Lonchura striata: one gene and its partner. The protein of the gene in region 2 purifies or fractionates together with the protein of the main gene of each other region. This does not show direct contact. Links are inferred from orthologs where the notes say so. Each region holds a gene or a part of one and is shown on either strand. Other genes may lie near its edges.

The links. The genes of interacting proteins can lie anywhere in the genome.
Region 1: the proteins of RC3H1 (region 2) and FAU purify together in Homo sapiens (affinity purification with mass spectrometry; 3 studies listed by BioGRID, with this or other methods). This does not show direct contact. The link is inferred for Lonchura striata from reciprocal best matches to the Homo sapiens genes RC3H1 and FAU.

What each region holds. Positions count from the first base shown.
Region 1 is NC_134638.1:178,675-185,975, forward strand, and holds FAU (ubiquitin-like FUBI-ribosomal protein eS30 fusion protein), read right to left. Parts: upstream 3,015-7,301; 5' UTR 2,946-3,014; intron 1,373-2,945; 5' UTR 1,365-1,372; coding exon 1,290-1,364; intron 1,204-1,289; coding exon 1,059-1,203; intron 973-1,058; coding exon 917-972; intron 825-916; coding exon 699-824; 3' UTR 665-698; downstream 1-664. Other genes in the region: MRPL49 (large ribosomal subunit protein mL49), read left to right, coding at 3,078-3,143, 3,738-3,876, 4,635-4,756, 4,830-4,976.
Region 2 is NC_134611.1:27,340,280-27,347,498, reverse strand, and holds the start of RC3H1 (roquin-1), read right to left. Parts: upstream 3,203-7,219; 5' UTR 3,013-3,202; intron 1-3,012. UniProt on the Homo sapiens protein: Post-transcriptional repressor of mRNAs containing a conserved stem loop motif, called constitutive decay element (CDE), which is often located in the 3'-UTR, as in HMGXB3, ICOS, IER3, NFKBID, NFKBIZ, PPP1R10, TNF, TNFRSF4 and in many more mRNAs.

The sequences.
Region 1 (7,301 bases), on a different chromosome or scaffold from region 2:
CCCCTGCTAGCCCCTCACAACCCCTCAGCGCGATGAAATCACAACGCACCCCAGCCCACCGCTGCCAGGACAAAATGGCCGCGGCGCCGCCTGGCGGGCGCTTAAATAGTGCGCGGGGCATGCCGGGAAAGGGGGCGGGGCGGGAGCGCGGCGCGGCGGAAAAGGCGCGAAAAGGCGCGAGGGGCGCCCCCTGGCGGCTGAGGCCGGGGGAGGTTTGGTTCGGCCGGAATCCGTTCGGTAATTTCCGGCAGCGCTCCGAAGGGTTCGGAGCCGTCAATTAATTCTCATGGCGGCTTGTCTGCTCCGCGCTCCTCCAATCGGGTGTTTCCGGCTGGTTTCGTGGATCCCTCGGGTGTTTCCGTCGCCGCTCGGCTCCTCAGCCCCGCCCACCGCCGCGCTCGGGTGTTTCCGGCACCGCTCGGCTCTCTCCGCCTCCCCAGTAGAGAATCATTCCCCAGACAGAGTCTTCTCATTAGCAGCCTCCAAATTAAGGCTCATTAAGCTCCTCTCTCTAATTACCAGCCCCATCAGCTGCTCGGGAACCCCTATGAACCCCTTCTAGGCCAGCTTCACTCCCAAACCACGCGGAACGCTTCACAACCAACTTTAAAACAAAGTTCAAAAACCCCAGTAAAACACACAAAAATCTCGTAAAGCCCCAAAATGCTGGGAATTGATCCCAAATTCCTTTATTGGCCTCAGGAGTTGGCGTTGGGACCCTTCTTCTTGCCGAAGGTGGGCACGACGTTGACGAAGCGCCGGTTGTACTGCATGCGCCGCTTGGCCCGCCCCGTCTTCTTCTTCTTCTTCTCCTGCTTGGCCACCTGGTTAAATACGGGGGGGTCAGGGGGGTCCCCAAACCCCTGGCGGGGTCCCCAAACCCCCTCAAGCCAGGGGGAGCCCCCTCAGCGCTCACCTTGGGGGTCTGGCCCCTCACTTTGCCGGCGCGGGCGAGCGAGCCGTGCACCTTACCTGGGGGGAGGAAGAAAATGGGGGTGTTGGGGGGGGTCGTTTTGTTAATTAACACCCCGGTAATTAGCGGCCCCCCCCGGAATTACCGCCCAGCAGGCGCGTGGAGAGGTCCAGGGTGGTGAATTCGGGGAGGGGGCTCTGCCCCAGCACGGCCTCATCGTCCAGGGGGGTCCCAGCGTGCAGCAGCAGCTGCTCCTCGGCGGGGATCCCCGAAAGCTCGGCCACCCTCTCCTGGGGAGGGGGGCAGAGAGAGGGGGTCAGCACCCCAAAATCAGGGTGGGATTGGGGAATGGGACAGCCCGAATCTGGGGGCTCACCTTGATCTGGGCGAGGGTCTCGGAGCCGGAGAGCTCGAGGGTGAGGAGGGTCTGGCCGCGAATGAAGAGCTGCATGGTGGCGGCTGGGGAGGGGGGAATTAGGCGGTGAGGGGGGTCCCCAAAACCCAAAAATGGGGGGGAACCCCCTGGGAATGGGGGCAGATCAGGGGAAGGGAGGGAGCTGAGGGAGGAGTGGTTTGGGGGTGATTCAAGGGTTATTTTTTGGGAGGTGAGTGGTGGCTTTTGGGGGTGACAGGAGTAGATATTGGGGGCTGTGGCAGTTTTGAGGTGTTTCTGGGGGGCTGTGGCTGTTTTGGATGGGATTGTGGCAGTTTTGGGGTGTGTTCTGGGGTACTTCTGCTGGTTTGGGTGGGATCATGGCAGTTTTGGGGTGTTTCTGGCTATTTTGGGTTGTTTCTGGGGGGCTGTGGCAGTTCTGGGGTGTTTCTGGGGGACTATGGCTGTTTTGGGGTGTGTTCTGGGGTACTTCTGGCTGGTTTGGGTGGGATCATGGCAGTTTTGGGGTGTTTCTGGGGGGCTGTGGCAGTTTTGGGGTGTTTTTGGCAGTTTTGGGGTGTGTCCTGGGGTGTTTCTGGTTCTTTTGAGTGGAATCCTGTCACTTTTGGGAGCGTTTTCCAGTACTTCTCCCACCCCCCGGACTTTGTCACCTGGCCGGGGGCCATGGGGACAAAGGGCCGTGCTGGGGGTGGGGACACACTGGGGGTCACCGGCAGCACCCTTGGGTGCCCCCCACCCTCAGAGCTGCCCCCCAACGACCCCTCAAGGCCTCGAGGGCCCGCCCTTCACCCCCAAACCTTTGCAGCCCCCTCAGAACCCCCCCAAACCCCCTCCAGAGCCTTCCCAGCTGCTCCTGCAGCCCCCCCAAATCCCCAATAACCCTCCAGACCCCCCCACACCTGAATCCCCCTCAGAGCTCCCCAAACACCTCCCCAGACCCCCAAACACCCCCCAATCCCACAAAAGATGCCCCCAAACTCCTCCAGAAAGCCTCCCCACCACAAACCCCCTCAGGATCCTTCCCTGAACCCCTCCCGCCCCCAGCAACGCCCCCGTGAGCCCCTCCAGAACCTCCACAACGCTGCCCCCCACCTCAAACCCCCTCAGAGCCGCCACAAGCCCTCCCCGGAGCCCCCAGAGCCCTGAGATGCCCCCCAGAGCCCTGAGATCCCCCCGAATTCCCTCCCCGGAGCCCCCAGAGTCCTGAAATTCCCCCCAGAGCCCTGAGATCCCCCCCAGAGCCCTGAAATCCCCCCCGAATTCCCTCCCCGGAGCCCCCAGAGCCCTGAGATCCCCCCGAATTCCCGGCCCGGAGTCCCCAGAGCCCTGAGATCCCCCCGAATTCCCGGCCCGGAGCCCCCAGAGCCCTGAGATCCCCCCCAGAGCCCTGAAATCCCCCCGAATTCCCTCCCCGGAGCCCCCAGAGCCCTGAGATCCCCCCCAGAGCCCTGAGATCCCCCCGAATTCCCTCCCCGGAGTCCCCAGAGCCCTGAGATCCCCCCGAATTCCCGGCCCGGAGCCCCCAGAGCCCTGAGATCCCCCCCAGAGCCCTGAGATCCCCCCGAATTCCCGGCCCGGAGCCCCCAGAGCCCTGAGATCCCCCCCAGTTCCCGCCCGGCGCCCCCGGCCCGGCCCCACCTCAGCGGCTCCCTCAGGGCTGCGAGCGTGTGCGCGGGGAGCGCGCTGACGTCACGTGCGCGCGCTGACGTCACGTACGTGCGCGCTGACGTCACGCGGCGGGAAGGCGGAGGGGAAGAAGGAGGAGCCAAGATGGCGGCGCTGGCGGCGCTGGGCCGGAGGCTGCGGGCGCTGGGCCGGGGGCTCAGGGGGGTGCAGGTACCCTGGGGCGGGGGTTTGGGGTGGGAGGGGCTCGCTGGGGAGCTGTGAGGGGGGAGTTGGAGTGCGGGGTTTGAGGGGTGAAGGGGGATTGGAGCCTGAGGGGAAACTGGGGAGGGAGGCAGGGTTTGGGGAAAGAAACTGAGGGGGGGAATGCAGAGGGGAGATTTGGGGGGTTCCTAAAAAGGGAGAGGGGAACTGGGGGTTTTGAGGTGGAGAAATGGGGGAGGGCGATTTGGGGGTCTCAGGGATTTTTGGGGGAGGTCTCTCAGGGATTTTTGGGGGAGGTCTCTCAGGGATTTTGGGGGTCTCTCAGGGATTTTGGGGGGTCTCTCAGGGATTTTTCGGGGAGGTCTCTCAGGGATTTTGGGGGTCTCTCAGGGATTTTGGGGGGTCTCTCAGGGATTTTTGGGGGGTCTCTCAGGGATTTTTGGGGGTCTCTCAGGGACTTTTGGGGGGTCTCTCAGGGATTTTGGGGGGTCTCTCAGGGATTTTTCGGGGAGGTCTCTCAGGGATTTTGGGGGGTCTCTCAGGGATTTGGGGGGGTCTCTCAGGGATTTTTGGGGGTCTCTCAGGGATTTTTGGGTCCCACAGACCCCGGCCAGGCCCCCCGGCTATCAGGAGTCCACGGCTGAATTTGGGTTCGTGGAGCGGCTGCTGCCCCCCAGCCGCGTCCCTGAGCCCCCCCCGCACCCCAAATACCCGACCCCGTCCGGCTGGAGCCCCCCCGCAGGTCGGTAATTACCCGGGCTCATTAGCTGGGGGTAATTAGCGCTGGGGGTAATTAGAGGGGGTGATTTACCCCGAAGCAAGAATCACCGGGGTTCTTTATCAGTTAATTTATCCTGGGGGAGCTTCATGACTTTGTGGGAGGTGTTTAATTACCTTGGGGGGCTTAATTACCTTGGGAGCTTGTTAATTACCCCCGTGTGGTGTTAATTACCCTGGGGTTAATTACCCAAAACACTCTCTTCAAGAGGGAATCATCTCAGCCCAAAGAGCAAAGAAGATTTATTTACCCCAAAGTGAATTGGGCCGGGGTGGGTTGAATTTCTTTGGGGGGGTGTTAATTACCCCCAGACAGTGTTAATTATTCCTTGGTGGGTATTAATCACCCCGGGGAGGACTCCAAAATATTTCCTTGAAGGAGAAATTAGTGAATACCAAACTACGCAGAGAAGTGAATTTAGGCGTGGTGGCTGTTAATTCACTTGGAGGGGTGTTAATTACCCCCAGATGCTGTTAATTACCCTAGGGGGATGTTAATTACTCCTTGTCGAGTGTTAATTACCCCTTGGTGAGTATTAATTACCCCGGGGAAGGCTCCAAAATATTTCCTTGAAGGAGAAATTAGTGAATACCAAACTACGCAGTGAAGCAAATTTAGGCGCAGTGAAATGAATTTAGGCGGGGTGGCTGTTAATTACCCCCGGGGGCTGTTAATTACCCCCGGGGGATGTTAATTACCCCCGGGGGTGTTAATTGCTGCAGGGCCCCCCCCGGAGCTGCCCTACTTCGTGCGGCGCTCGCGCCTGCACAACCTGCCCGTGTACGAGGGGCAGCGGCAGGGCCGGCGCCTGACGGAGCTGCGCCACATCCACGGCGACATCTGGGTGAGTCGGGGGAGGTTTTGGGGGTCCCCGGGGGTCTTGGGGGGCTCCCCCTGACCCCCGCGACGCCCCCCAGGCGCTGCAGCGGGACCTGAGCGCGTTCCTGGGCTCCCTGGGGGTCCCCGAGGTGCCGGCGCAGGTGAACGAGGTGACGGCGACGCTGCGGCTCCGCGGGCACTGGGGGCCGCAGGTGCGGCAGTGGCTGCTCCAGACGGGCTTCTAGAGACCCCAAAAGCTGCCCGGAGGACCCCAAAACTGCTGCAGGACTCCAAAATCTGCCCGGGAGATCCCAAAGTCTGCCCGGGATCTGCTGTGGATTCGGCTGGAGCATCCCGAAATGGAGCCTGGGCAGCGCAACAGCTCCTGGGGGCACCTTCAGATCCACCTGGAGCACCCCAAAATCAGCTTGGGGCACCTCCAGATCCACCTTGGCCTCCTAAGATCTGTTTGGGGCACCTCTAGATCCACCTTAGCACCCCAAAATGTATTTGGGGCACCTCCAGATCCACCTAGAGCAGCCCAAAATCTCTTGGGAGCAGCTCAAAATTCACAGGGAGCCTTGGAATCCACCTGGGCACCTCCAAATTCACCTGGAGCACCCCAAAATCTGCCTGGAAGCTGCTGGGGACAGCCACAAATCCTTCTGGAGCACCCCAAAACCTGCTGGGGGTACCTCAAAATCCACACTGGGGTTCCAAAATCCACCTGGGTCACCCCAAAACCCACAGAGAGGATCTCAAAATCCACTTTGGGGTAGCCCAAAATCTGCTGGAAGCTGCCCCAAAACGGAATAAACGCCTCATAAATGAGGGTAACTCCTCACAGCCTCTTTATTTACAATGCCCACCCCCCAAATTTTGGGGAGGGGTCCCCCAGTCTGTGCAGGGGCGTGGGGAGTGGCTGCAGCACCAGGGGCTCTGGTGGCCACCGGGGCTGGAGCTGTGCTGGGGAGGGATAAAAGGGGAGGGGGATCAGCCTGGGGACCCCCCTGGAGACCCCAAAACCCCCCCCAAAAACCCCACCTGGTACCAGTACTTGTAGGAAGGGTTGGGGTCACCTCCTGAAAAGTTGAGGGGTCCCAGGAGCCCCAAGGGGTCGTCAGGTTTTCTGAGCTGGGGGGGAAATGGGGAAAATTTGGCAGAAATGTGGGGGAAAAGGGGAAAAAATGGGAAAATGTGAGGGAAAATGCGGAGGGAGCTGAGATAAGAGCAGGGGCCAATTTTGGGATTGATTTTGGGGCTGATTTGGGGCTGACTGGTGCCAATTTTGGTGCTGATTTGAGGCCAATTTTGGGCTGGTTTCGGGCTGCTTTGGGCCTGATTTTGGACTGGTTTGGGTCCAATTTTGGGACCGATTTGGGGCCGATTTCAGGGTCCCGCGGGGAGCCCCCAGCCCCATTTCAGGGTCCCCTCAGAGCCCCCAAATCCCCCCCAGACCTCTCCAAGCCCCCTCAGATCTCGCCCAGCCCAGCCCCTCCCTCACCCCAAATCCCCTCAAACGCCCCAAATTCCCTCAAATCCTCCCCAAATCCCCAAATGGCCGGCGGGAGGAGCCGAGCTTTACTGCAACCTTTATTGTATTTACACCGGAGCTGGTAAAAATTTGTACATTATTTACAAATTAAATAATTCCGCCACCGCTTCGGGGGGAAAAGGAGAGATTTTGGGGTCCAGCACCCCCCGGAACCATCCCTCCCCCTCCCCGTGGCTTCACCCCGAAACGAGGGGATTTTTTAAGGAATCCACCCAAAAAAACCCTCAAACAGACCCAAAAGAAATGATGATTTTGGCTCAAAATGGGGAAAAAAACAGCATGGAAGGGTTCAAAATCAACTCCCCAAAGCGGCGCCGTTTCGTTATTGCCAAATTCCTCACAAGCCACTCAAACTGGGGCCAAAAGTGCCCAAAAAATTAAAGGAAGAAAGGAAAAGAATCCGCCTCAAACCCGAAAATCCCAATTTGGCTCCTTTTTGCCCCAAGTCTCCCCCCCCAGCCCGTTTTGGTGCAAAAGCGCCGTTTTCCATCGATTCCGGCCGCGGGGTTGTGGATTTTTGGTTTTTCCCTGAGAATTTGGGGTTCCAGAGGCACTGGGGGCGCGGCCGGCCCGGAATTGCGGCGGGATTTGGGCCAAAAGCGCCCGGAATTGGGCAAAAGTCAGCGAGAAACTGCAACCCCGGCCGTGGCCAACCAGTCCAAACCAGTTTGGGACTGGGGGGGTGTGGGGCGAGGGGTTAATACTGTTAATCGGGGGGCAGAATTCCCAAAATTCCAGGGGGAACCCAGAAATTCCATGGGGGGGACCCAAAATTCCCAAATTCCTGGGAAAATCCCGAAATTCCCATGGGCAGGACCCAAACCGGGGGAGGGGGGGGGGAGGGGTGCCCTAAAATTCCATCTGGGGACCCCCGAAATCCCAAGGAATGTCCCCAAAATCCTCAGGATAGCCCCACAATTCCCATGGGAGGGGACCCCAAAATCCCAGGGGGGTCCCGAATTCCCTGGGCCGGGTGAGGTCAGAGGTCAAAGCCCCCCCAGCGTGGGTTTGGGGA
Region 2 (7,219 bases):
GAACTGCACCTAATTCTGGGTACACAGTGGAACCTGTGCTCAGAAAGGAAAGTAATATAATGAAAGTAAACATTTGTGGCTTCCTTTCTCAGTTAGCAGAGGCCCTAGACTTCATTACTGTAACAGAGCCTACATGGAATCTTGAAGGTCACACTGAAATTTCAGTCAGTGCACTGTGTTTATATAACAATCTTTCACAATAGCAACATATTATATCTTTTTTCCCCGTATGATAATGGTTTTCCATTTGTTACCTAGTACAGTCCAAGACATGAACTTCAAACTACTAATTCCCCAATGTTTATCTGCCATGTACTTGGAATCAGATCTGTTTTTCTGGCCCACCAGCCAATGTTACTTGGGATGCTCCAGCAAACAACCACCTGATTTACTGGGTGTGGGAAAAACAACCACAAAACCACACAGACTTTCATCTGCAAAATAATTCCATAAGTCTATGGTGGAAAAGGAATTCTGAATAATGAGTAGGTTTTGCAAAAAAATACGAAGTTTTATAAAGGTCACCTGCTTAAAAGAGAGCTTATAGAGGCTTTTGCATCACTGTTCTGAGATTCTTGGGAAGTTTGGGAACCTACATGCAGATGAGTTCTTTCCTTCTAATTCAGCTTTACATGTCATACCATTGGAAAGGTATGACTCCACAAGCTCTTTCAAATGGCTGAAACTTCTTCTCCCCAGGTACCCAGCATGTAAACCAAATTCTTGGTGCAGAATTAAAAAAAAAAAAAAAGTAATTATCCTTCGTATCACTACATTCTACAGCCTGGGAAAGGTCAATTTCCTAAGTATCACAAAACAACCTTTTACAGCACTGGTTAGTTAAGAGATAGACACCCTAATTAAATGGAATATCAGTTTTTGCCATCAATATCAAAGGTAGCCAGCATCAGTGTCACCTAAGACTTCTGAGCCACATACAAAGTAATTAAAGCATTATTATTTTAATATACACACTCACTGAATCTCAACTTCTGTGATGTCTAATTCAACAAGATTGATAATGGCTCCACCCAGATTGCTGGTGAATCATTGGCAACACATCAGAAGTTTCCAAAAGCATTCCTGCTCATTTCTCTTCATCTGCATGAGCACTTTTATATAATAATACATGCCTCAAGATGCCCCTAAATTAAACTCTGTGATATTAATGTCTGCCATTTCCAGATTCATATGTTTATCATATGTCCAGTTTATTCACTGCAACAGCAGTTTTTTAAATTATCAGCATACAACAATCCTGTCAGAAATTTCTAAAATATTTCACTTTAAACAAAACTAGTTTGGATACAAAGCTGACAAAAAAAAACCTCACAAAAACGAACAGCAAAACACCAGAAACCATACAAGTTACTTCCCACTTATGTCAATGAAGGTTCCTGCTGCTCATGTGTGATTGACAAACTCAAGTCTCTGGTTGTCAAAACAGACTGCTCTGATGGTACCTGCCTTTCTAAATTTCCCTCCAAGCAGCCTGTCAGGCTGTCTGCTTTGACAGGCCCTTTTCTAGGACAGGAAGGCAAAGCCATAAGCTATCACTGGGAAAGGAAAACGTGCCTGATAACATCTGCTTCTATTTATGTTAGTGGGAAGCACAATTTCATTATCAGCATTGTGTATTAATGCATTGAAGAAAGCCATGGTGCTCCTGGTGAAGCTTAGAAACTGGCAATAATGTACAAACTGCTCCTGAACACGGATTATTTATATAGCCATGAAGTCCCATATTAGCTTCATTGACTTCAAACACAGCAATACAGACATTTATAGCTGACAAAATTAACCACCTCCACATCCTCATAAGCCTGAAATAAGTAAGAAAACATAAGTTTAGGAATACATTAACTTCTGCCTCAGAGTATTCCTGTATTATCTCACATTTCTATAGCCAAATAATGTGAATAGAGTATAAATGCTGCATTTATCTTCCAGCAGAGTCACTAAATAACAGCACAGTTACAATGATTAAAACAGCTCAGTCACAATCCAGGTTACTTTGAACCTTTTAATTATTTCTGCAAATTTTTAATTTTTTCCCCCACTTCAGCCATTTTCAATATGGCAAAAAAAGACAGAAAACCGTAGCTTCTACTGGAGGAACAAATGATTTGTCACTCGCACTTGACTAAAACGTATAAAAATAAGACACACTCCGGACAAGAAGGCATGTAGATGTAAACAAAACATTCGTAATTCCTAGGAGAAAAAATCAAAACCTGCATCAGCTCCCTGCTTTAAAAGAAGACAGACCTCACAATGGCTTTTGAAGACAAAACCTGACACCAGGACATTCCCAACCATCAAAGCAAATAAAATCCCAGCTATACCAACACCGCACCCCCGGCATGAAACCCTACCCACTCTGTGGGTGTAATCCAACAGCCAAAACAATGCCAGGGTGGAAAAACTAGTGCAAGTCAGGGAGATCCTGTGCGGTTTCACCATCGTTTGTCCCCATGCAGAGGGAGCCGCGGCCACCTCGCTCTTCCCTCAGGCACGACAGACAAAAGAGCCACAACCCAGGGCGGAGAGGTGTCCCGGGGACGGGTAGGGCTCTGTCATTATTTTCCCTCCGTCTCTGTTGTTCAACGCGACACAGGGACGAGTTTTCTCGCGCAGAGGCAGGCAGAGCCCCAGGAAAAAACAACAGCAGGCAGAGGGGGCACACAAAACCCGCCTGTCCCTCGGCCGCCGCAGCCTGAGGCGATGCCGCCTCTCCCCACCCCCAGCCGGACCCAGCCGCCCTCCGCCTCTCCCCCCGTCGGGCACAGCGAGCCGCGGATCCTCCCCGCCCGCCCGAGGCGTTCGGAATCGAGCCCGGCAGGAGCCCGAGGCCTGGCAAGGCACAAAGTCACGGAATTGTTACAAGTAGAAAACACCTCTGGAAATCATCTCGTCCCAACGCCCGCCCCTCCGCCTCCTTTCTCGGCAAGGCGGGCAGAGCTCTCCCGCCCTATTGTTCCCCGCACCCCGCGGCGGAGGCAGCGCACTCACCACGCGGGCCGGGCTTCCTGCAGCGCCCACCGGCCCCCTCAGCTCCGGCACGCCGGGGCTGCCACAGCACCCTGCTGCTGCTCCTCCAGTAGTACACGCGGGCCCCGGGGCAGCGCCGCCATCGCCCGCCGCCGCCCCGCTGCCACTCCGGCAGCGGCCATCTTGTGCGTCGACTGCTCCTCTCACCGCCCACCTCCCTCCCTCTCCCCGCACCACCCGCCCCTTCCTGCGCCCGCCTTCCCCCGCAACGGGGACGCGGCCGGACGGGGAGAACGAGCCGAGTCACGGCCCGGAGCCCGTGAGGGCAGGGCGGGGGAGCTGTCGCCCGTCTCGGGCAGGGTACCTCGCGCTCCCTCAGGGACGGTCTCCGATGTCAGATGCCTTCCTCCTTTCAGGTGGGGTCTCTTTCCCCCCCTCCCACCTCCTCTTGTCATAGCGGGCTCGGGGGTGGAGGTCGAGGCTTTTCACACACGGAGTGGCTCCTGTGTTTTGGGAGCTTGCTGAGGGCCCCCGCCCGCCATTTTCTCTCCCTCAGGAGCCTCTGTTGACGGACCCTACGCTTGCCTCATGCCATCACACCTTATTGCTTCAAGCCGGTTACTTGTCTTACTTCAGTGAAAAATAACACAAATTAAGTTCCCTCTTACGTGGCCGTGCAGGGCAGAGCTTTAGGGGTTTTCGTGCCAGTCCCAAGTGAAGGTGTAGAGATGGATTCGGTGCTGGAGAAGGTCCTCCGTAGCTTTGTGTGCTGCAGGACACAAATCATCCTTAGCTTTAACCAATACCACAGATAAGATGTTTTGGGACCCTCCAAGCTTTCCTGTGTCACAGTCAGATACAGAAGAAATTTTAAAACGCAGTTACAGAATGTCTTGCAGTCACTTACATTGCAGCATTTACTAAGCACGTACTGACAGTTTAAAATTGTTAAAAGAGCTAACTATTGAGCATCAGGATATTTCAAGGTAACATTCACTTTATGCCTGTTTATGAGAATATTAATATGGTGTAAAATTAAAAGGAAGCTATATTTAAAGACTAAAAATGGTATTCAGTGGTCCCATTTTATTGCCCATCTATTTTATCACACCTATGCCCAGCTAAAGGCTCTGTGGGATCAATCCCACTGTGATGCCTTGTACAGGATGCTGTGCAGGGAATCAGTGCTTTTCTATTTTCCTTTAATAACATTGTAAGGAGCACCCAGTGTATTATTGTCAGTTCAGCATCTGAAGTACAGCACTGCATGACCTGGAAATATAAATAGGACATTGTCAAGTCAGAAGTAGCCATGCCCAGAGCCAGGGACTCAAGAGACCAGGCCTGCAAAAGAAAGCCTGGGTTGTGACATGCAGACAGAAGACACAAATTTCTACACACAGAAAAAAAATACATAGGGGACGGTTACTCTTCAGCTTCTATTTCTGACTCTTGTACTGGCCATAGACAGATTTTCATTAACTTTACAAGAAATGTGATGCTAGTAACTAAAAGTGTTATTTCTGTCTGTTTTACTAAAGAAATAATCTCTATTATTTAGGCTTTTCCACCAAAACAACCTTAATATTAATCAAGGATCAGTGTTGAAATAAAATAGTATTAAGAAAAGCTATTAATTTCTGAAAACAGAGTTTTCTAGCCACAGTCAAAGGCATTGCGATCTTATGAACACAGAAGATTAGGATATTTACAAAGAGCACCTTTGACTTAGCAAAAGCTTTACTATGAGCTAGAAAATAAGTGTAAATTGGAAATGGCCAAGGCCAGACAAGACAGGGTTTGGAGCAACCCGGTCTAGTGGAAGCTGTCCCTGCCTGTGGCAGGGTTTGGAACAAGATGAACTTTAAGGTGTTTCCAACCAGTTTGATATTCTGTACCACAGACACTTTCCAAACAATAATCGCCATCTTTTGCAGATGCCTCTTTAAATGTTACAGTAGAAACATGAACCTTGTTGGAGTTGTCAGTGTCCTGAGTAGAAGCAGAAGATGGCATTAGGAATAGCTAAAATGGTAGGTGTTCTTTGCAACCTTGGTTTAATGTCATAGAAGCTGGAAATGGTCAGGGCCTGAATCCTGTTACTTCCCAGTTTCTAGCAAGTGACTGTACAGTGTTCTGATGTTCTGTTCAGTCTGGGTTTTAATATTCCAGTCTGGGGGACTTCTACCACTTTGTCTTTTGGTTCCTGTATTGTGGAAAGGTTTCATTTTTCATGTAGTTTATGTTTTCCCTCAACATTTAAATGCATTACCAGTAGGAACATGCTAACAACAATTTTCAGTACCATGGCATAGGTTACCACAGTAATACATGGCTGAAATTTAAATAAGGGGGATATGAAACCACCTATTGTTCTTATTATGTAACACTGCACAAATGAGCACTTTAATTCTCAAACTCCACTTTAGACTTCCATCAGAGTCATGCTTTTCTAATGTTTATTCTTCATTATGTTTTCTGAAAGTTCAGAAATTTGTAGATTAGCTTGTTCTCTTGTTGGGATCTGATCCCAGTAGATAACTTAGATTACTTTTAGTGTCTGCTTTCCCCAGTTATGCAGCATTTTTTCCTGCATGATACACTGCTTTTAGCATTGGAAACACAAAATGTTATTTGTCTTTAGGACTGCTGTTTTCAAATATCATTTCAGCTTATCATTAAATCAGCTATAATTCATCTCCACTTATTTACGTTGTTCTTTCTTTTATGTTCTTAAAAACCCACAGGAATGAATTTTTCTTCTACTGCATATAGTCTCAGTTTTCAGTTCCTTTGTCTCTTTTTTCCCATCCAAAAGGGGATAATGTGTAGGCATGATTCTAAGATCTGACATTTGTGTCCACACTAGTAATGTTCTTCAAATTATACATTAAAAATTACTTCCCATTTTAGCCTCTATGACTGAGAGAAATACCTAAAATACCAGTATGACTGTCAAATGGTATAATCTCACCATTCAATTTTTATACTACTCCTTCCATATAACTGCTCTAGAGCTGTGGTACCAGGATAGCTGTCTTTAAAAAAAGAAATGTGTGTTTTTTTAAATGTCTTGGCAGTGTTTCAGTTTGCTATTTTAGTTAGCAATGCGACTTATAAAGCTGATAATAAAGGAAAAATTCTCATTCTGAAACCTGTGATATCAGAATGGAAGGCAAGAATTAAATACTTCTTCAGGTGGCTGCAAGCATTTCACACAGTGAAGATTCTTGCTCAAAAACCACAGATTATAAAAAAGAAAATCCTTACCACATGATGCTTGACCATCATGTTAAAACCATCACTTTATCAAACCTTAAATTCCTGCACTTCTATAAAATTCCACTGACAAAAGCAGAAGACTGTATCCATATCCAACATAATCATTGAAAAAGAATCCGATGTTCATTAAAGAGTATGCTGAATGTCATCCAAGCCATGGGATACAGATGCTACTATTGGAGCTAGTTTATATGCTTATTTTAAATAATAAAACACTGTTAGCAAAATACAGCCTTACACTGTGGACATGCTCAGAATCTCCAACAGAACACACAAGGTATCAATTTCTGATGTATAAAAGAAGCCTAGAGGATCTAAAGGAATGTGAAGTCAATATTTCTAAAATGAGCGTTCCTCCTTGAAAGCTTCTCTCCCAAGCATTCACAAATTCACATTTTGCACAAATAAATAATACTATATAACCCACCAAACATCAGATTGGTTTATTTTTTTTTTTCAGTTCTTTGATGCTGTTCATAATAAATTTGTAGAATATCAATACAATTATTAATGTTTGTGTTTCCAGCCTACTTGGAATGCAAAGGTCTATGTAAGTACACTCTCTGACTGCAGCTGCTGTGAAAAAAGAAGAAATTACAAGGAAGGTAAGAAACTCTGTTTTGATTATTAGAGCTTTCACTTCCTTAAGCATCCCATCTCATCATCCTTGTCCCACTGGTGTTGTGGGATGCAGAATGGTGATTCAGGACTATGTGCCCCAGATTCTCCTCCTTATTGCTTTTTTTACTTACATGTCATTGCCTGCTTTGCTGCATTCTCAGACCTTCCAATATCATTCAGCACATCTCCTCTCTTTTTGGGATAAAAATTTTGAAGCAACAGAAAGTACAAGAATTTGCAGCAGAGCAAGTCTGTAGTTACACTAGGCAGAGCAAGGCAGAGGCAGTACCACACCACATCCTTGTCACTCCAGTGCCCTCTGCTG